Schizosaccharomyces pombe: one gene and its partners. Changing the gene in region 1 together with any one later gene gives a genetic interaction. Each region holds a gene or a part of one and is shown in the gene's direction. Other genes may lie near its edges.

Region 1 (6,086 bases):
AGCAAATAGGCCTCGTGGAGGGCTAAACAATTCTAGCCGTTCTGCTTACTCTTATATTAACAACGGTCAAGCAGGCTCTTCCAAAGGTAACCGATATGATAGTTTGTGGTAGGAACTCATATCACGCTTTAATGATCACAGAAATACATCTCAACACCTAATCCGCCATATTTGCTTTAAAAAAAGTAGTTTTATTTTATATAGTTGCTCACTACAATTCTCGCTATTGTACATGTGAATCCCATTGCGTTAAAAATTAGACAAGATATAAGAATAATGTACAATTAATAAACATCTTTTAAATCAACGAAATAACACAGAGACCATACTTCGCAAACAAACAAATTGGCTATTTACAAAAATTGAATTACAAGCTGTTTGGATTTATTCGCTATCGCTCTCAACAATCCGACGCTTCACTCTTCTTTGTACAGAACCATCACCGACAGAAGTCTCTGTAACGGTCTCGGATCTGTCAGTTTCCACTGCGCTAGGAATTACCTCATCGTCTTCATATTTATTAATAGTAGCTCGTGCTACACTTGCTTCTTTATCCGCATCAAATCCTTTTATATCGGAGCCAGCTCCAACTTCTTCTTCATCCTCTTCATCTTCTTCTTGTTCCTCTTCTTGTTCCTCTTCCTCTTCCTCTTCCGCTATAAAGTCACCAAGGTCATCTTCTTCATTTTCTTCCAGATCCTTATTATAACCACGATATTGACCAGCTCCTTCTTGTTTAATTCGTTTTAAACGATCCATACGGTCACTGTCAATGATTTCATTTTGTTCGCTATAAGTAGAACGGGGACCGTAGAAGGAAGAGTAATCCTCTTCTTCTTCTCCTGTTCCATTCTGATAATTGTTCAATTGCTTTCTTTTCTCTAAACGTCGCCGAGCTCGACTTCGTTCCTCCTCATATTTTTCAGCCTGACGCTTTAGTAGTTCTGGATCCTTTTCAATAATAATTTCTTGTACGCTTCGACTAGGAACCTGGACTGTGGTGAGACGCATAGATGGCAATTTTGATCTTGTAGCAGTGTTAATGGCTGAAGGGAGGAATGTAAAACTGCTTTTGAAGGATGTTTGAACTCTCAGTAAATGTTGTGCTTCATGTGAGGCAGTAACAAAAGTTGGTTGAGATATTAATTTATTTTGGGTATCATATATGTCGTTACCAATGCGAAGTGAATATGAACCATCAGACCATTGTACAATTTGCGCATTCGATTGATAGCTTCCAGACGGCCCCAATCGCCAGCGGACAGTATTATCAACTTTATGTTTTATTCTTTGACCCCAATGCGCGTCGTGTTCTAATAAAGCTGCATCTGCTTCGGCTTCCGCGGCGTACTGCTCTGGATCGTACGGAGTCTGTTCCACAGAAAGGAAATTTGGAATATGAGCATGAAACACGTCATTACTAGCAGAAGCTGGTGATTTGAAATTGGGAACAGCGACTTCAAGGACTTTCTTTACAGGAACACTAACATTTGTTAGGATGCATAGATTTAAATAGCTTGCTATAGTAAAAGACGCTAATTTTTGATTTTTTACTAAAAAGCCTCATGAAGCGATTTATTACTTTCACCACTGTGGCAGCTGTATAATAAATACACATTTAGAACTACCATCGGCTAGAATCAATTCGCTTCATCTATAAGACTGCAACTTACTCTGCTTCAGGGGCTTCAGTAGCCTCTTCTGTATTCGAAAACAAGCCGTCATCGCTAACGGCTGTTTCACTATCGTTTTCTATATGGCCATTTATAAGTTCATCTTGCTGCGAAGTATGATTGTCTTCATTCTCACTAAACAAATCATCTTCCTCTTGACCGTTGCGGATGTCTTCTTTAGAATCCGACATTAAATCTATTTAAATTCCTCAAAAATTCACCAGTCTAAACTTTCCAGATTGGTTCCGGTCAGAATACGTATGGTGTTGTACTAAGATGCATTAAATTGAATAATCACTAGAAGGTACAATCCTGTTACTTGTAGTGCATGGTGGTGGTAGAAAGCTTAGGGTAGCTCATAGTTAAAACCCATACCCGTGTTTCCACTTTATATTTTGAGTTATATTTATTATTGTCAAAGTATATAGCGAATATTTTTTGTAAAATCATTTAAAATCTGATAATTTAACTTTTACTTTTATTGTATTGTTAGGTGTACAGGCGAATTATCTACTATTTTGATTACAGACCTCAAGCTTGTTAAGATTTATTTTTGATTTTTAATTCTTCCTTCTTATAAAATGGCACCTGCACCACCGCCTCCTCCTCCAGCACCAGCGCCTGCTGCTGCTGCTCCGGCCCCCCCTCTAATGACCGGAGATCGATCAGCTCTGCTCAATTCTATCCAGAAAGGAAAGAAACTAAAAAAAGCTACAACGAACGACCGATCGGCTCCCGTTGTCGGAGGAGGTGTCGTAGGCGAACGTAAATCTAACACTCCAAAAAGCTTTGCTGCTCCTCCTGTACCCACAGGCGCACCCTCTTTACCGACTTCTTCAAATAATACTCAGCAAGCAGAAGAGAGACCTTCCATGCCTGCATTAGGAGGTTTATTTGCTGGCGGCATGCCTAAGCTTCGTCATATTGGAAAGTCAAGTGCTTCAGCCGCACCACCTTCCGCTCCTGCTCCTCCTACTCCACAATCTGAGTTGCGTCCGCCAACAAGTGCGCCCCCTCGACCTTCAATTCCTCCACCATCTCCTGCATCTGCTCCACCTATTCCTTCAAAGGCACCTCCTATTCCATCGTCTCTACCTCCACCTGCACAACCTGCTGCACCGGTGAAATCTCCTCCTTCAGCTCCTTCATTGCCCTCAGCGGTACCTCCGATGCCACCTAAAGTTCCTCCACCTCCTCTATCTCAAGCTCCTGTTGCTAATACATCATCACGCCCTTCTTCTTTTGCTCCACCAGCAGGACATGCACCTAACGTTACATCAGAATCTCCTAAATTTCCTAATAGAGGTCCATCCATTCCTTCAGCTTCTGTTCCTCCAGTTCCTCCATCTTCTTACGTCTTGCAGCAGCGACCTAATCGTGGTAAGTTTGCGATCATTAAAAGCATTATTTTTTTATTAACACAAAACTCTAGTTGATGATCATGGAAGATTCCACTTTAAGGATGATAGTTACTTACCAATTCCTCATCCCTTTCTTGGAGTCCCTAAAGTTTATCGGGGTGGTAGTGGCACTACGGTCCCTTTGAATCTCTCTTCATTTTAACAAATCTTTTTAAAGCTGTGTACGATTAATCTACTACCAGTGTTTAGTTGTTAAACACAGAATTTTCTTTCGTTAGATGGATACTAATAATTACTCAGTGATAGAAAAAAACTAAAAATTCATGCGGCCTTTTTTATGAATATTAAAATTATTTATAAAGATTCATTAATCCTTATAAATAAATCGTTAAATAAACTCTAAAATTAATAAATTAATGTATAAAAAAGGATTATCGTACAACAAAAAAACGAATGTTCTTAAATAGCCCCAAAAAACTCCCAATTGCCCAAATTTAGTAAAAAGTTACGACTGCTCTTCGTCAAATAACATATCCAAAGCTTCATAGTTGATTTTTTTTGAAAAAGCTCTTTGTTGCATCATTTCTTTTGCACTTTCAGCAGCAGTATCGGCTATTCCATCACTAGTGCTATCTCTAGGACGATATCGTCTTCTTTTACGAGGTTGTCGGACAATTCCTTTTTTTAAATCTTCTTGGAGTTTTAAATTTTTCGCCTCTTCCTCAGCTAAATAATCTTTATTCAACTCCATCCAAACTTGAGTTTTAGTCAATATTTCATCCTTGTCAAGCAAAATATCTTCAATTTCATCATCATCAACGTCTTCTAAGGTAACTTCTTCCTCCGAAAATTTAACGTTAACTTGTAGAGAAATCTTTCTAAGTTCATCGCCCTTAAGGGTTTCAGTAACCTCTTTCCTAATTTCTCTTTCATCGGCCTTCAAATGCACAGGAGTTTCTTGAGATTCAACTTTTACTGTTTGCGAAAGCTCTTCAGACTTAACTTCGTTGCCATCAAAATCCGGGGTCCTTTTAATAGGGGACATGTATTCTTGTGTGTGATCAATGTTTGAAACTTTTTGAGCACCGTATTGTTGAAACTTTTGATTTTTAGTAAAGCTAGGAGGATCGCTCTGTCCTTCCAGCCAAATGTTTCGAAAGTCGGCGATTGAAAGATCACCGCTCTCAGTTAATTTAAACTCATCAAGGCGTTTTTGAATAGTGATATCCGCAACTTTCACGACATGAACCACTTCTCGTACGCTTCGTCGAAAATTATTCATTCTTGCTGCAATGAGTAAGCATGCACCACAAATTCCAGCTGGCCGACGACCAATTTGCATCCAGTCTCTATTCATTCGCGCTACCAATCTGATAGCGTCGTTTGCGACACGATGTGTTTCCGGTCCAAATTCGAGTAAAGAAGCAAATCTACTGATATATAAAGACGGATCTAAAAGAGGTAAATTAGGCCTTAAAACGCGGCACAACTTGAGAAAAGTAGACCCAAGCTTAAAAACGTTAATTTGCAAAATATCAGAAAAATCGATTAACATATGAGACGTCTTAGATATCCGGCAAACAATATACAAACAGGATGCAACAACGTATTGCGATCTCCTTCCTTTTATAAAGTTGTTGTTAATTGCCAGTGTAAAGTAGCGAACTGCTGCTTCGATATGGCGTTCGTTAAGTTTTAAAGCAATTGCCAATGCCGAAATTCGGCGACGTCCGTTTGCAATGGTAAGTTCTCTGGATTCTACGGATCCTTGATTTCTGTAAGGGCCACCAAAAGTCCGAGCATGAGCTAAAGCTGTGTTAGATATAAGTCGATGAAAAATATGGACGAAGAGGTGTCTATTAGTAAAAGATCAAACCAAAATTTAACACAGACTGAACAAAAAAAGGTGACTGCATCAGAACTGTAAAACACCGCATTGCTGGATGATTGCCTTCTAACTTACTTTGATCATTACTCACAAGAGAACCCTGAACAACAGCTGCACCAGTTGAAGCCTCTCCGAATGTCACTTCCGAAACAATTGCATCTTGCTCGACGACAACACCGCATTGTGTACTATTCAATGGTTAGCAGTCAATTGCCACGTTAAAATTATATAATAAAAAAAACAACTTACCAATATGTATTTCCAGAAGCGGTATCAGATTCAAAAGTAGTTGAACCGCAATTTGGACATCCCATGGCGAATAACTGAAAACACTTGGGCGTTAGCTGTTTGGGAAATGGTATTTATCAAAGATTAAGTTTAACCCACATGGAGTACTTAAGTGGGGGGGGGGGAAAGAAATATCACTGCAAATATGCATACTAGCATATATTTTAAAGGTCTACAGAGAATTTAATCGGGTTTAATTGTTTGTTATTTTATTTTGTTTTTTTGTTCTTTTTTAATGGTTTGGAAATGAAGAGCGTTAAAATAAAATTAAAAATAGTAAATTGAACTTTGCTTCTGTATATGGTATTTGGACTTTTTAGTTTAATATATATTATAACAATTTTTACTAGTAAATTCTCTAGTTTATCTCGAGCATTGCAAGTTTAGCAAATGATTAATGAATCGTGACTATATGGTTCATTAAATCTTTTTATGTTAATTAACTTGTTAAAAACATTGTTTGGCATATATATTTATATAAGATTATGCAAGTAACGTAATTAGGAGAATAAAAAGTAAGACAGAATATATAAAGAAATAACTTAAATTGCTTGAAGTTAAATAAATATTGGTAAAGATCTTAAGGTACTGTGAGAAGCGTAAGCGGATTCTTATTTCTCTATCTTAGGCAACACTAGCGTTTCTATGCATACAACCTCATAGTCCTTACTCACCTTTTCTCACATATATTTAATACGCAGATGAATCGTTTGAATTTTCAAAGTTTACTCTGGAAATTTGGACAAAAAAGGTTTTATTACAGACCATGGATCAGAATTGAAAATATTAAACCAACACCATTATGGAAACCGATTACATTTGCTGTTGGTGTTGGTTCTGCCACCTTTTATACGGCCAATTATCTCGATAAAAGAA
Region 2 (3,766 bases), on another chromosome or scaffold:
GTCTGTGAACGACCCTTCGCCTTTGAGCCGTGGCCTGCAGTCAGATGTCAACTCAAACATATCTAGAAATATCTCTAACACATTCTTTAAAAAGTCGATCTTTTTCTTCGTTTACTATTGTAAGCAAGCTTTAGAATTTATCAGCACTGTATTTTCCATCATAAAGTTTCTTTTGAACCGTCGAAAAGTTAGCTTTTTACTCTCATTTCTTTTGCTTTTCTCGTTGTTTTTACTAATACCTAATGATGGACGAGTAAATATTAAGTTTTTTTATAAGGATTTCGTAGACAGAATTCCTTTTCGGTTCATTCCTTCAAATTTTAATATAAGTTTTGGCAAACACTTGGAACAAGCGAAATCTCTGTTTAAATCCAAATTTGGTAATTCCTCTTCAACATATAATGAACGTGATTCTATAATGCCATTGCTAAAGCTACAGTCAAACCTTACAGAGGCAAAGACACTTCTTTATCAAAATCCAATTAGCCCTGAAGATGTTTTATTACATTTTTGGGATAGAAATTTAATGAGTACTTATGATCTTAAAATACAGGATATAAATGATTCTGTTAACCCTCTACTGAACACTTACCTAGATTTTATTGAAAAAGACATATACCTAGTGTCGCATCTGCCTGTTTCCGAAAAACACCCTGGGAACATCCCGATTTCATTAGTCAATAAGAGTGTTCAAGCCATTTGTTCTTTTGCCGAACATTACAATTTATTGCGAAATCCTTCGTATCGGGGCTTTCTGAGAATTAACAATGGAGAGTCTATTTTTAATTTACTTTGCATTGAAGATTTACACGAAAGTGTCAATCTTGATATTCTTTGTTTGAAAGATATATTACGGAACATTGCTCAAAGCTCTAAAGAAGCTATGTATATTGTAAAGCGACACAACTCATCACAGTCTTTTTATGGCAATAGATCGACCACCAATTTTTCAATCATAAACTCCGGTTTATATTTAAAAAAAGATGCTGCTAAAAATCTTTTGGCGAAGCAGTTTGATGCCACATATTCTTATTATCATAAAGACCTTGAGGAATCTGTTCATCAAAAACTCAATTCAAACTTAGAAAAAAGAGTTGAAAAATACATAAAACATTCTTGTTCCCAGAGAAATGTTGCTGATCACCCGGACTTTGCCTTGAAAGTTGTTGGTGCTGTCGTGGACTACGGATGGACATTTCCTAAGCCTAAATTTTCTGACATTTTAAGGGATTACTGGGGAAAAAAAGCAAATCTACCGACGGCTTTACTTGACACAAGCATCAATAGTAATTGGTGTAATTACGAAGATACTGTACAGGTTTCTGTGCGTTTAAATCGACCAATGTACGTGCGACATATTTCACTAATTTTTCCAATACATGGTGATGATTCTTATTTCCCGCGTGAAATCCAAATGTTTGGGCTTATCAATGATATCAATTATCAAATTTTAAGCAACATGAACAACTTGGTTTTGCTTGCCACGATTCCTGTTTCTTTGTCTTCGGTGTTCGAAGTAAATTATTACTATCTTCCAAAATTCTCGGACACACCTGGCCTTCTGGAAGAAGCTTATTTTAACACATTTGTGTTCAGGGCGTTTTCAAAAAATGAATCTTTGACGTCGCAAATTTGTTTATACCACATTGGTATACATGGTAAGGAGATTAATGAAGAATTTTAACGTCTTATTTAAATACGACTAAGTAGTCTAAGAGCCACTTTCATCTATTACTTTTGTATGGATATTTCTTGTCAATGAAAAAAATATATAAATTTAGCATATTAATTAATCTATGATGTATAGGAATATGCTTAGTTGGTGCTATGAAATAGTTTCAAAAATTTGCACGTCCTCGGGATTTTATTCACAAGGTAGTTTTAATTCACTGGAAAATTTAGGTCTTAAATAAACGAATAGTATACGCGTAATAGGATTCCCAACTATTAACCCGTATAGGGAAGCAGATACTGAATGTCGAATTGTAATTGGCGATACTATAATTCTCAAGTATACAGGAACACCTACACTTGGTTAAGATAAAATTTGAATAATGGCTTCAAAATATCAGTCTGTGCAGCCTGGTGGGTAAGTCAAGCATCTTTATGAAGTTACAAGGCTCTATAAATCATTTTCAGCTTTTTAGTATCTTAACTTTCATCTACACAGAATTGAAAAATTAGCAAAGCATACAAAATGAAAGCTAGCAAAGTTTTTTGATGTATCTCAAGGTAATTTTTAGGCTAATCTAAGCTTTAGATCATTAATTATTGCTTGGCGTGCACAAGGTAAAAAAGTATTAATTGTTGGAGGTGGCGTTGTGGCAGCTGGGCGTATATTGCATGTTTTGAATGCGGATGCCCATGTTATCGTTGTAAGTCCAAAAGCTGGTCTTTGTAAAGAAGTGGCTTGGAGAATACAGGAGAAGCAAGTTGAATGGCGAGACAGGGGATTTCTAGTCGAAGATTTGTCTGACGATGTAAACATGGTACTTACAGCCATAGATGATCCCAGCTTGTCTTCCGAAATTTATAAGTTATGCAAAAGCAAAAAAATCCCGGTCAATGCGGCGGATATTCCACCTGAATGTGATTTCTACTTTGGGTCTGAAATCCGTAACGGCCCTCTACAAATTATGGTTAGCACCAATGGTAAAGGTCCAAAACTTGCCAGTTTAATACGAAAAAAAATCGAAAGTTCAATCAATCCAGCTACTGGTATGGCATTGGAAAAAACTGGCCTTTTACGACAAAAATTACGAGACATTGTTCCCGAACCTGAAAACAGTCGCAAAAGAATGAGATGGATGATTGAGATTTGCGAACTGTGGTCTTTGGAGGAACTTGCCATGCTCGACGAAAATCTCATCAACCGACTTTTGGGATACTTCCCAAAAAAAACACCTAGTTATCGAGAAATAACGACTCCAGCCTACAGCAAGATAGACAACTACATATGGTTTGGAGCAATTATAATTTCTGGGGCTGTTCTCCTCAAACATGTTTCAAAAGCTCGTTAAAAGAAGCGTTTGATAAGTTAGTTGCTTTACGGAATATGACAATTACATTACTTTTCACTTTAAAACATTTGAATTTTGAATGGAATTTATTAAAAAACTCTTGTACTCATAGAAGGTTATTTTTCATATAATGCTCCCTAAACGAAAATGATACATCTTTGGAAAAAAGTTCCGTTGTCCATTACTATACTATCAACAGTTTTTTGAATAAAATTAACCTACAATGTATACTTGAAGTCAAAGTAGTTTTTATCGAAGAAGTGCACCCGAACATAACCATCTTCTCCACCACTAGCATAACCGGTTCCTTTGGGATGGACAGCTATTGTGTTGATAGGACCGAAATGACCCTTAACGCGGCCTAACTCTTCTTCTAAAATCGCATGATAAAAACGTGCTTCAAATTTACCCTGTCTAGCAGCAGTAGTAGTAACATCACGGGCTTCTTGACCACCTCCTAAAATAACGAAGTCTTGGACAGGAGTAAAACTAGAAGTATTAAGAGGCGTATCAGTAAGGTATGTTTTGATGACTTCAAAAGAATCAACATCAATAGCTTTAGCAGTCGTATCCTTGCAAGAAGTGATGAAGTAAGTACGATCAGGATAAAACTGAAGATCAGTAATAGTAGAACCAGAATTATGAACTTGTTTAGATTCAACGAATTCTCCGGTTATAGCATCGTATCTGGAAACGGAGCCATCTTCATGACCAGTAAAGAGAAACTTGCTCAAGTAAGACCATCC
Region 3 (7,990 bases), on another chromosome or scaffold:
CCCAATATTCAAGACGTTTTCCAGGGTACTAAATTAATCATTGGACTGGTATACAACATGTGTTATAAGTTAGTCGCATTTTACCAGATACATGTTAATGGCGGCATAAGTAGATACTTTTCTAACTTTTAATCAACTGCATTTAGCTTATATTTCTTGATGTCCTATGCACCTTTAAAATCTTTCAACAAATGATTACTATTTTTAAATTGAACAACCCTGATTGCGTAGAAGGCGTGCATGTTTTTTTAGCGATTAAAATCCGGGGTCTTACTAGTGTTAATCCTTAATTCTTTTAGAACAATTGATAAGGTAAAGGGAAGCAAGATTAAATTAAAGAGACCGCAAATTGAAATTACTGTGTTTTTAAGCCTAAGCAATACTTACTAGTCGTAAGTAATAAGTCAGTACCGAAATTGAGCGCATTACGAAATACAAATTAAGGATAAAAATTAACTGTTTACTAATGTTTAACGAACTAGTAATTTTCGTTAAATTCATGAAAAAATATATCAAAAAAAAGCTGGAAGTTTTCAAACATATGTTTTACGGCTGATTTTATTCAACCTTCTATTTTGTAGAACATAAAGAAAATGCCATTAATAATTGTTTCAGGTTATCCATCTTCAGGGAAAACAACGAGGTCAAATGAACTTAAAAAGGCTTTAGAAGATCGAATTCATCAAAATATCGACAATACAAAGGATTATCGGGTGATAATAATAAACGATGAGAGTTTAAACATTGAAAAAGAAACATATCGAGGTATGTTTAAATAGTTATCTTTAATGATTTAGTTTTTGGAAATTAGCCAATTCATTTTTGGCTTCAGATTGTGCCCAGCTACTCTAGATGATGGGAGAATCCGTATATGCAATTTTTCGTAATTCTGGTAACTAATTTGTCTTAGAGTCCAAGAACGAAAAGGCCGCTCGTGGCCTTCTCTATTCTGCTGTTCAGCGTGAACTTTCAAAATCTACATTCGTAATTTGCGATGCCTTGAATTACATAAAAGGATTTCGATACCAGTTATATTGTGAATCAAAGTCTATGTACACAACTCATTGTGTGATTCATGTTGCTGTTCCTCAAGATTTATGTCGAAAATTCAATAGTAACAAGGAACAGCCGTATCCTGACGATGTTCTTGAGCAATTAATGTTTCGTTATGAAGAACCGAATGGAATGACACGATGGGATTCCCCTTTATTTACTGTCTTGCACGATGATGCTTCTTGTCCTATCGATGACATCTGGTCAGTTCTTATTCATAACAAAAATGTCAAGCCTAACCAAGCTACAATGGTAAAACCTCCAGCTGAAGTCAACTATTTATATGAATTAGATAAAACTACTCAAGACGTAATCATGCTTATACTGGATAATTCCAACGATACCTCCTTGATTACTGTACCAGGGAGCAAACTTCAAATCGCATTACCCAGTGTTACAGTATCTCTTCCTTTACTTCAAAGATTGCGCCGTCAATTTATCCAAATTAACCGGCAACAATCATATAATACCAATGTTCTCAAGGAAATGTTTGTCGAATTTTTAAATGGTCAATTTGAAACCTTGGACTGATATCCTTTTCTTAAACTTTATGATATTTTTTTTTGGGATTTTTAAGGGGACGAAAAAATGTAGCCTAATATTAATACTTAACTTTGTTTGTTTCTTTTTTTTAGAACATGTTTAAAATGGTAGAAATCGTACATTTTGTTTAATTCCTTAATCCTTTTACAGTTTAAGGAATGCTGTCCTGTAAAAAAGAAATAAGAAAACGTTCACGGTCAATATCGACAATAAAAGTTTCAGTAAAACAACGAATATTGTATAAATCTAGTTATAATGTTTACTATTTAATCCATACTGTAATAAAACAATTTATTATAAGTCTCGCTCGTTTGCTTTATATAAGTAGCACATTGAACCGAGATCTAACGTTCGACACATTAAGGCCGAAAACACTTAGCAAAGACATACTCCGCCTTATATTTCATTGCTAAAAGTTGGCTCGTCTAGACGGCAATTGGCTTGAACGTGACCGATGCCAAAATGCAGGATGCCTCTGAACCTGTGATCAATATGCCTGCTCTGCCTATGAACTCCGTGAATGAGCAACATGACAGACACGAAGATCTTCCAGAAGTTGGAACAACATCAGTTACTAAAATTATTAATGATTCTGACAACGAAGATGATGAAAATGGTATGGATCTCGGTCGTGTTGCTTCTGAAAGTTTAGAAGGCGATGCTGTGGTAAGTATTGATATAAATACAGAAGATTCGTCGTTGTCGCCAGCGAAACAAGAAAACGAAAAGAGTCCCGAAGGAATCGAGCAGAAATATCAAGAAGAAGACTTGAAAGACGACAAAAAATCCAATGAAACTATCGCGACGCCTGTACCTGACGCTGCATCGAGGGCCAGTTTGGAAAAGCAAAAATCAGGTTTAACCAATTTGGAAAAATCCACTCATGTAGTGCTTATAAAGTGCATCGAGCAGCTTATACAAATAAAAGTTTGTATGAAGAACGAGAAGATGAAGAATTTAATGGAGCAACTAAAACCTCTTCTACAAACCGAATGTCAGTTTGACAAATTTTTGATAGTAGAGTTATTTCAGTACTGCTTTGAATCCAGTCAAGATGAAGTTATGAACATTTCTTTAGACACTATTTCTAAACTTGCTTCATTCGCCTATTTTTCTTCAAAAGATAAAACACCTGCCTCATTTGGGCCCCCTAAATCCCTTCTACAGTGTATGGTTGATATGGTATGCGATAGTATCAATGATGAAGTTGTTGATGGAAATCTGCAATTGAATGTTGTAAAAGCTTTATCTGCCTTTATCTTATGTTCTGAGCAGGATAGTATGCTTCATGGAGCGATATTATTGAATTCTGTTCGTAAACTCTTTAATGTCTTTCTTCTCGGGGATAGTGATACTATACAGTCAGTTGCTCAAGCTTCTTTGACTCAGGCTGTCACTGTAGTCTATGAACGATTACGCGCGAGCCACACTCAGTCGAACTCTACATCTGCTTTACCGGAAGAAGATGCATCGGTGACGGAAAATTGGGTTCACGATGAGGATGAGCCTGACAAGAAAATTACTCTTCATTCTATGGCATCTGCTGGCACTTCATCATTAGATCATGTTAAAGTTGACGCAGATGACCCAGCTGTCACCAGTGTTGAGAATTCCTCTATCCAAGACGCGTTTTTAGTGTTCCGATCCATGTGTCGACTTGCTGTCAGACAAACCTCGCCTGATAAAGTCAGTAATATCAGATCTCAAGCTATGCGCGCGAAATTAATTAGTCTCCATCTTATATATCGCATTTTAGAAAAAAATAGTGACTTATTCATGGATCCTACTCTCCAATTTCGTGGTATCCCAGCACTTAAAGGAATGACCCTTGTTCATGCCTCCCGTCAATATATTTGCCTAGTATTATCTCGCAATGCTGTAAGTCCTGTTCCCCAGGTGTTTGAAGTCTGTTGTGACATTTTTTATCTTATGGTTTTTTCTTTGCGTGCCCACTTCAAACAGGAAATTGAAGTGTTTTTTCGAGAAGTTTATTTTCCGATGTTAGACCTCAAGAACACCTCCTACAATCAGAAGCTCCATACCTTGTTAATCATCCAGAGAATCTGTCTTAATCCAAGAGCTCTTGTAGAGTTGTATATAAATTACGATTGTGATCGTTCTTCCACTACCAACGTTTTCGAACAATTGCTGTTTTCAATCTCAAAAGTTACTACCAATGGTCCTTCGGAAACGATATCCGAAGATATTGAAGAAATTCTTCCTTCTTTAGAATCTTCTGAACGGAGTAGTACCCCTTTTCTAAATACGAACTCTGCTTCGTTAAAGTCCGAAGTGGTTCAACTTACCACATTTAGCGATTTTCAATTGAAGCTAAAGACTTTGCAATGCGTCCTTGACATTTTGCAATCTTTATCAAATTGGGCCGAAAGTGGTCTTTATTTATCTCGCCGAGGTGTGTCAACGGATGAGCAAGGTTTTGTTGGAGATTATGATGCGCTTTCCAGGTCTGATACTCCTGTGACGAATCCTTATTATAACGGAAAACAATCGTTTGAAGCAAATTCCCATAGCAGTAGTTCTATCGCACTTGCAGATCCTTCACAATTTGAATCAAACAAACAACGAAAGAAGCTATTACGGACTTGTATAAACAAGTTCAATTACAAACCTACTAGAGGTCTTAAGATGCTTTCAGAAAATGAATATGTTGACATAAATGATCCTAAAGCTATCGCTGAATTTCTGTTTCGTGCTGATGGTATTGACAAAACTACTTTAGGAGATTACTTAGGAGAAGGGGATGAGAAAAGTATTTCCGTGATGCATGAATTTATTGATTGTTTATCTTTTATAAATTTAAAGTTTGTAGACGCTTTACGTCGTCTATTGCAGTGTTTCAGACTACCCGGTGAAGCCCAAAAAATTGATCGAATTATGCTGAAATTTTCCGAAAGGTATATGAAGGAGAATCCGTCTGCATTCGCTAATGCTGATACTGCCTACATTCTTGCTTATTCTATAATATTGCTTAATACTGATTTGCATTCTCCTCGTATTAAAAACAAAATGACAAAAGAAGACTTCATTAAAAATAATCGTGGAATTAATGACGGTGCTGATTTAGATGAAGACTATCTTGGTTTTGTATATGATGACATTCTTAAAAATGAAATTGCTATGAAAGATGATCAAGAACTCGCAGCGATTGCTCCTTTAATGAATAATTTCAGCACATCTAGTGGATTCACCACATTTACTTCTAATGGACGAGATCTGCAAAGAGTAGCTTGTATTCAAGCTTCGGAGGAAATGGCTAATAAGGCTACAAGTGTGCTAAAAAAGCTATTGTATCAACAGAAACATGGATCACAAAAAACAAATGTTTATTACAATGCTACTCATTTTGAACATATAGGTCCCATGCTTGAGGCTACTTGGATGCCTATACTTGCTGCTCTTTCAAACCCTTTACAAAATTCTGATTATGTTAATGAACTTAATATGTGTCTTGATGGATTTCAGCTTGTTGTCCGTATAGCTTGTCTCTTTGACCTTGACCTTATTCGAGACGCTTTTATAAAAACTCTGACTAATTTTACTAATCTGCATTCTACCAGTGAAATCAAATTACGTAATACTATGGTTATAAAAACATTACTGAGAATTGCATCTACCGAAGGTAATAATTTGAAAGATTCTTGGAAAGATATCCTTACTATTATAAGTCAACTAGAACGCGTGCAACTGATTGGTGTTGGTGTCGATGAAACAGAAGTACCTGATGTTATAAATGCACGTGTTCGTCGAAAGAATGTGAACATTGGTTCTTCAAACTCAATTCGGCATGTTAGTGGAAGTACTTCTCGTTCGACTAGAACTCGCTCACTATCTAAACCTTTATCCCCAGAGGCAGTTTCAGAACTAATGTCCACTGAGGTAGTGTTGAGCATTGATAGAATATTTACCCAAACATCTTCTCTTTCTGGCTCTGCGATAGTATCATTCTTTAAAGCATTATGTGAAGTTTCTTGGGATGAAATAACATCTTCTAGTGATTTGGAGCAGCCAAGGCTATATAGTCTACAAAAGCTGGTTGAGATATCCTATTATAACATGCAAAGGATTAGAGTGGAATGGTCATCAATTTGGAACGTTTTGGGTAGATTCTTCAACATGGTGGGTAGTGATGAGAATAGGCATGTTGCTGTTTTTGCATTGGATTCCCTGAGGCAGCTTTCTATGCATTTTCTCGAAATTGAGGAGTTGTCTCTCTTTTCCTTTCAGAAAGAATTCCTTAAGCCATTTGAGTACGTTATGGCTTCCGATACCGTAGTAGAAGTCAAAGAACTTGTTTTACAATGTGTTAAGCAAATGATTCAAGCTAAAATTTCCAAAATAAAATCTGGATGGAAAACTTTGTTTGGCGTTTTTACATTTGCGGCTAAGGCTAGAAGCGAAATATTAATTTCTATGACTTTTGATACCCTTGTCAATCTTTTTTCCGAGCATTATGATACTTTAATGCAGCAAAATTGTTTGATAGATATGTTGATATCCTTCACTGAATTATGCAAAAATGGAACAAACCAGAAAATCTCTTTACAAAGTTTGGAAATTATTAGAGAAGTTTATTCAAGTCTTTCAACTATGATAAAGGAAGGACTTAGTTCCAAGCCTTCAGTAAATGAGACATTTTCTAAATATGTTTTCCCAGTTTTATTTGCATATTATGATATAATAATGTCAGCTGAAGACTTGGAAGTAAGGTCAAGAGCTCTTCAAAACTTATTTTATATATTCTTAGAAGAGTCTGATGATTTCACTGAAGAAACTTGGGAAGTTGTTTCACGAAAATTTATATTCCCGATATTCTCAATATTTGGACCAGAAGCGGATGAAGCGACTGTTATGTTAAGGGATGAGGAGATCAGGACTTGGCAATCTACTACTCTTGTTGAAGCGTTACGAAGTCTCGTCACTTTGTTAACACGCCGTTTTGACAAACTTCACAATTTGCTAAAAGGTTATCTATGGTTATTTAGCAATTGCATTTGTAGAGATAATATTACACTTTCTCGCATAGGAACAAATTGTATGCAGCAGCTACTTTCTGGAAATGCGTATAGGTTTGAAGTTAAAGATTGGAATCTGGTCGCTGATATGTTTATTGAGTTATTCAAGGAAACCACCCCTCATCAGCTTCTTCTTCTAGAAACATTTTCCAATGGGCAAGGAGCCCCTGTTTACTCCGAAAATGAAAATACTCAATTGAGCCATAAGCGAGGCGGTTCTCTACCGGAAACTTCTCGTTCAATTTCGACATCCTCAATTTCCCCTGAGAAACAGATGGAGTTCCGTTCAATGATTCGAAAATGTATTCTTCAACTACTTTTAATAAGTATTGTTGCTGAATTGTTAGATAACGAGGAAGTTTTTAATCATATCCCCCATGAACATGTATTGAAAATAACTGTGGCTATTTACGACTCATGGCAGTTTGCTCGCAAGTTTAATGAAGACAAATCTTTACGTATTACGCTTTTGAACGTTGGATTTATGAAGCAACTCCCTAATTTATTGAGACAAGAAACGGCTAGTGCATTGTTGTACATCACTTTGCTCTTCCGCTTATTAAAAACCAGAGACCCTTTAGGTAAAACAGAAACGGATCAGAAAATTCATAAACTTCTTTTTCCGGTTTGTGCCGAAATGCTGGATATGTATGCTTCCTTGGTTGTTGAGAAACATACGCGTAACCATGCTGCATGGCAGCCTGTCATTGCTACAATCCTGGACAGTATACTGAATCTTCCTTTAGAATTATTTTCCGAAAACATTCACACTCTTTACTTTTCTTGTTGTTCTATGATTGCAAAGGAGAACCTTGATGATCAACTTAGAGAACTACTTAAAAATTACTTTAATCGTGTGGGTCACATTCTATTAAACCTGAATGCCCAACAGGAATAAATAAAGTGATTTTCAATTAATTTCAATAAATTAGCTTCTAGTAAAACAAATAATCCTTTTATAATTTTAGATAACTTATTGGTAAACTTTCTTTTTTATTCTAAAAAATTGCCCTTCTTTTAAATAAGTTTTTTTCAAAACTTGAACAACCTCTTAATATTCTGCATGTAAGCTAATCAGTATTTGTAGTAATCCAACGCCAGAAGGAAGATGCTACTGCCACACACACCAGAGACCTTTTTTTTAACGATCAATTAAAGATTTTTCGTGAAATATCCTCTTCTATTATTCATTTCATGTCCCTGCGGCCTTTAAATATAGAATAGCTTAAAGTAAAGACGAGTACATTATGAGTTGAAGCATCAAGGTACAAATGGTAAATTTACTTTACAGAAAACATATTAAACTCACAAAATTTTGCCATGACAAAATAATAAAGGGAGCCAGTGATTTGGAAGATATA
Region 4 (4,160 bases), 1.3 Mb from region 1:
ACTACTATTGTCAGTTAATTTGCAATGTCTTACTTTTATTCGCACTATCGTGTTTACCACACAATAGCGAATTTTTACGCATATAAAGGTTTTAAAAGTTTATATTGCAACTTCTCACCGTTTTTTTCATAAAATTAAAAATGGCAGCGGTTGACAGATCAAGGACAGAAATCTCTGTCCTTTCTGATCGTGTTACAGATGTAGGAAGTGTAGATTTTCCAGGTTATTATTTTGATGAAGACAACATCTGGGATCTTGATAAATTTAAAAAAAATTTAAAAGTTTCGATTACGTCTCTCGATCAAGAAACAATGGTATTTGAAATTTCTGGAATTGATGCATCCATTGCAAATGCATTTAGGAGGATTTTAATCGCCGAGATCCCAACTCTTGCATTTGAGTTCGTGTATATCATAAACAATACGAGCATAATACAAGATGAGGTTTTGTCTCACAGAATAGGTCTTGTACCTATATCTGCTGATCCTGACATGTTTAAATGGTTTCAACATCCTCTGCCAGGACAAGAGGCAACTCATACTGATTACGATACTGTTGTCTTTTCCCTTAATAAGAAATGCGAGTTTAATAAGAATGCCGCTACAGATGAAAAAGATCCAAAGAGACTTTACGTTAACTCTGAGGTTTATTCGGGTGATCTAATTTGGAAACCGCAAGGTCGACAGGAAGAGCGATTTGCTGACAATCCTATACGAGTAGTCAACCCAGATATTGTTGTTGCAAAATTGCGTCCTGGCCAGGAAATCGATTTAGAAGCTCATGCAATCTTAGGTATTGGACAAGACCATGCTAAGTTTTCTCCTGTTGCTACTGCCTCCTACCGCTTATTGCCTACTATACATATCTTGTCTCCTATTGAAGGTGAAGATGCAGTTAAATTTCAAAAATGCTTCCCTAAAGGAGTCATCGAGCTTGAAGAAGGACCTGATGGTAAAAAACAAGCCCGTGTAGCAGACGTTCGAAAAGACACCGTATCCCGCGAATGCTTGAGACATCCCGAATTTGCAGATAAGGTGCAATTAGGCCGCGTACGCGATCATTATTTGTTTTCTGTTGAAAGCACCGGTATTATGAAGCCCGATGTCTTGTTCATTAAAAGCATTGCAGTCCTAAAATCGAAATGTCTAGCCGTAAAGTCTAGTCTTCAGAATATTTCTTCTGACTGAATGTCTGTTAAATTAGTTTTATATGTAATCTTTTGGATAATTGGGTACGCTGTTAAAAAATATACTTTTGAAAGTTATTGATTTCTATATTTCAATATTAACATTTTGTCCTTTCTTTAATTTTAAATTTAATTCATCATAGACATGTATTTTGTTGATAACCAGTAGACCTTTTAAAAAGAAGTGTTGGTTTTCAATCACTACTTGCCATCCTTTGAAAGTCCTTATAAAATGCTTTGAGAATTTATATGAAAGCGACGCCTTTAATTGATGCAACTGAAAAAATTACTTTTCATTATATTTTTACAGGGATTTTGAAGTCCTATCTATTAAATTACCTAAATTAAACTAGACTGATTGTATAAATTTTAAAAATATTGTAAATGCCGGTTTTAACTAATTTGCAAAGAATGTGCCTAAGCATGCAGCAGAGTCTTAGTTAAGTTGCTTTGTTACTACATGATTGAACTATTATAGGAAAAGAAAAATAAAATAGAATCAGTTCTAACATATTCAGGAAACGCCATTTTGCTGATCTTTTCTAGATCAATCCTGACTGAGTAGAGAGTAGCCACAACATGACTCAGCAACAACAAACTTACCCCAAGCGTATACCATGCAAGGATTTGGGAGCCAAATTTTTCGGAAATTGCTGCGTAGTAGTAATGCTAAAGTGTCAGATGCACTTTTACAAAATACGCGTACCCTTTTCACCGCTCCGCCTTTACATTCTGGGTTACAAACTTCATTCACCGCTGAAACTCAACAACATGTAAGGCAGAATTCTCAAAATTTGGTATGTAAAGGCTGATGTTTCCACCTTTTTCTAACAGGTAAATAGCTGAAACAATTAAATGATGAAATGAAGGCGCGCAAGTATACGGAAACCGTTGCTACTTTCAGCAGCCTGAAACCATTTGGCATTTTAGATAGTCAAACCATTAATAGATACATTTTGTTTTTGGTAGATCGGATTAAAATGCTCAATGGGAGAGGTAATGTAGATGAAGCTACTCTCGACAAACTTGATGATATACTTCGATATGCAATTGAACACCAAGAGATTGCCTCTGCTAGGTTTTGGCGAATTATGCTCCAATCATATATCGACCTAAACCTTTTTGACAAGGCTTCATTAATTGCTGATATGAGCTTAAGCCATATGGAGTTTTTACCTAAAGATGAACGAGTTTTAGGCAACCTCTACATCTCAGCACTTCAAGCTAAGATACTTGGAGGTGCCAGTTTTGAACAGTGTGGAAAAATAGGTTCAGCCATTCACGAGCAACTTGAAGGGAAAGAAGTTGTAAATGAATTGGTTGCTGTGTATTTGATTTATACTGTTTTCAAAGATCAAGGTATTAGCAGTAAAGCTCATAAAGCTTTAGTTCAATTTAACGGACTAACAAGTTTTCACTCCGATGTCATTATTTCAGTGTTTGTCAACAAAGGTCTCGTCGATCAAGCTGCTGCTTATCTGAAAAATTCTAATCTTAACGAAAGAAATCTACCAACGATCTATACAACCGTTTGGTTACTTCAAAGACTTTTTGAAGCACACCATTCTCTAGATCCTTTGCTAACTATTTTCGATTATTATCTTTCAGTGTCACCCAAAGATATCACTCGTTTGACAAATGCTATTTTAAGTCTTTCAATGAAGCAATTTGAACGAGATCGGGATATTAAAAAGGCTACCGACTTTATCACTACGTTTATCAACAAGATGTCAGATGTAAAGGAGTTCAAACCATCCATTAGTACTGCCAACACCTTGTTCTCTATTGCTAGTCGTTTAAAGGATGTAAAATGGCTTTCTGCTGGATTTGATATGATAGACAAGTACGGGTTAAAGCCTACTCATGTCACTTATCGGTCATTATTGAAAGCATACTGTTTATTGCCAAGCACATGTGAGCAAATTTCGCAGGCTTGGGTAAATCTTGAGTATCGTCTTGAAGCTATTTCCATTTCTGTTGCAGATAAAGAAATAAATCTCCTAAAGGACTGCATTCTATCTCAACCTGACAGAGATGATCAACAAAGTTGCCTGCAATTTCTGAATATGGTGCTATCAAAATACGGTAAACATATACGTTCGCCATAAATTTTTTTGCACTTTGGATAATCTCATATAGTTCTTCCTTTTAACGAGATTACGATTAAATGTGTACATCACAGCCATATTACCTGCATGCATTAAAGTTCAAAAGTGTTCACTCCCATCTTTTAATATGTCCCACACTTTCACAAATTGAGTTATTTATTTTATTTAGGAACGTTTCGGTGGTGATTTTTGATTTTCGTTTTATGAAGTTACCTGGATGGGTTTAATTGTTTACCTCTTTGATATTTGTTAATTTTCCTTAACGTACATACTCCTTTCTGTTTTTTGCTATAGCCATCTTTTATATTAAATATATATTTTTTTATTCCAGATACAGGTTTTGTGTTCGTCTTAATAGTTTAGCATCTAAAAACACCTGTTTATTCTCAAGAGATATGGATAGTTTGAAATACTTAGAAGCTTTGCCTGGTTTATGACAAGTACGAAAAGTAAGGGATTTAAACCGCGCTAAGTTATGCTGTTAAAGACAGCTTTAAACGAATATTAGAGGATATTTTTCCCGGTATTTGTAGGTATGTCTTGCTAGTGGAAAATTTGTAAGTTAAATTATTATCACTATATTTTAATGCTTTATATGCACTCAAACAGCTGGGGTCGGTGTATGTCATTGTATTAATGTGAGACCAAAGTGCTTTATTGTACTCTATGAATCACAAATTTTGCTTTACATTAAAGTATTAGTTTAAATTTTAACTGCTTATCTCGCAAAAAATACGCTGCCTAGAAAATATACTAAGTTTAAAATAGTAATTCATTTAGGTATGGTGGTTGTTAAAAAGAGCATATAAATAGAAAAATTTGATGTTTTGAAAGTAATGTCTATAAAACATAAATGAGTTATGTTT

Evidence for each region.
Region 2: mutations in vrp1 (region 1) and met8 together harm fitness more than expected from each alone (negative genetic interaction), as found in Schizosaccharomyces pombe (one large-scale study listed by BioGRID).
Region 3: mutations in vrp1 (region 1) and sec72 together harm fitness less than expected from each alone (positive genetic interaction), as found in Schizosaccharomyces pombe (one large-scale study listed by BioGRID).
Region 4: mutations in vrp1 (region 1) and ppr8 together harm fitness more than expected from each alone (negative genetic interaction), as found in Schizosaccharomyces pombe (one large-scale study listed by BioGRID).

The regions. Positions count from the first base shown.
Region 1 is NC_003423.3:3,053,221-3,059,306, forward strand, and holds vrp1 (verprolin), read left to right. Parts: upstream 1-2,044; 5' UTR 2,045-2,254; coding exon 2,255-3,053; intron 3,054-3,105; coding exon 3,106-3,236; 3' UTR 3,237-3,539; coding exon of another isoform or gene 3,540-4,840; intron 4,841-4,855; 3' UTR 4,856-4,997; coding exon of another isoform or gene 4,998-5,110; 3' UTR 5,111-5,171; coding exon of another isoform or gene 5,172-5,236; 3' UTR 5,237-5,583; downstream 5,584-6,086. Other genes in the region: SPOM_SPBC13E7.07 (uncharacterized protein), read left to right, coding at 1-112; RNA polymerase II-associated Paf1 complex protein Leo1, read right to left, coding at 385-1,483, 1,674-1,864; transcription factor TFIIIB subunit Brf1, read right to left, coding at 3,540-4,840, 4,998-5,110, 5,172-5,236; rbd1 (rhomboid protease), read left to right, coding at 5,912-6,086.
Region 2 is NC_003424.3:5,359,826-5,363,591, reverse strand, and holds met8 (siroheme synthase), read left to right. Parts: upstream 1-2,017; 5' UTR 2,018-2,054; coding exon 2,055-2,089; exon of another isoform or gene 2,090-2,260; coding exon 2,261-3,020; 3' UTR 3,021-3,236; downstream 3,237-3,766. Other genes in the region: protein Csi2, read left to right, coding at 1-1,684; sum1 (translation initiation factor eIF3i), read right to left, coding at 3,239-3,766. UniProt on the Schizosaccharomyces pombe protein: Catalyzes the conversion of precorrin-2 into siroheme. This reaction consist of the NAD-dependent oxidation of precorrin-2 into sirohydrochlorin and its subsequent ferrochelation into siroheme.
Region 3 is NC_003424.3:4,386,493-4,394,482, reverse strand, and holds sec72 (Sec7 domain-containing protein sec72), read left to right. Parts: upstream 1-1,989; 5' UTR 1,990-2,058; coding exon 2,059-7,527; 3' UTR 7,528-7,641; downstream 7,642-7,990. Other genes in the region: kti12 (elongator complex-associated protein Kti2), read left to right, coding at 594-765, 911-1,584. UniProt on the Schizosaccharomyces pombe protein: Guanine exchange factor that acts as an activator of arf1 at the trans-Golgi net-work and is thus involved in vesicular budding and traffic between compartments of the Golgi apparatus.
Region 4 is NC_003423.3:4,393,080-4,397,239, reverse strand, and holds ppr8 (PPR repeat-containing protein Ppr8), read left to right. Parts: upstream 1-1,792; 5' UTR 1,793-1,803; coding exon 1,804-1,983; intron 1,984-2,028; coding exon 2,029-3,294; 3' UTR 3,295-3,630; downstream 3,631-4,160. Other genes in the region: DNA-directed RNA polymerase I and III subunit Rpc40, read left to right, coding at 141-1,187. UniProt on the Schizosaccharomyces pombe protein: Mitochondrial RNA-binding protein involved in mitochondrial translation. The cox1 mRNA is one target but it is not clear if ppr8 has a single or multiple targets.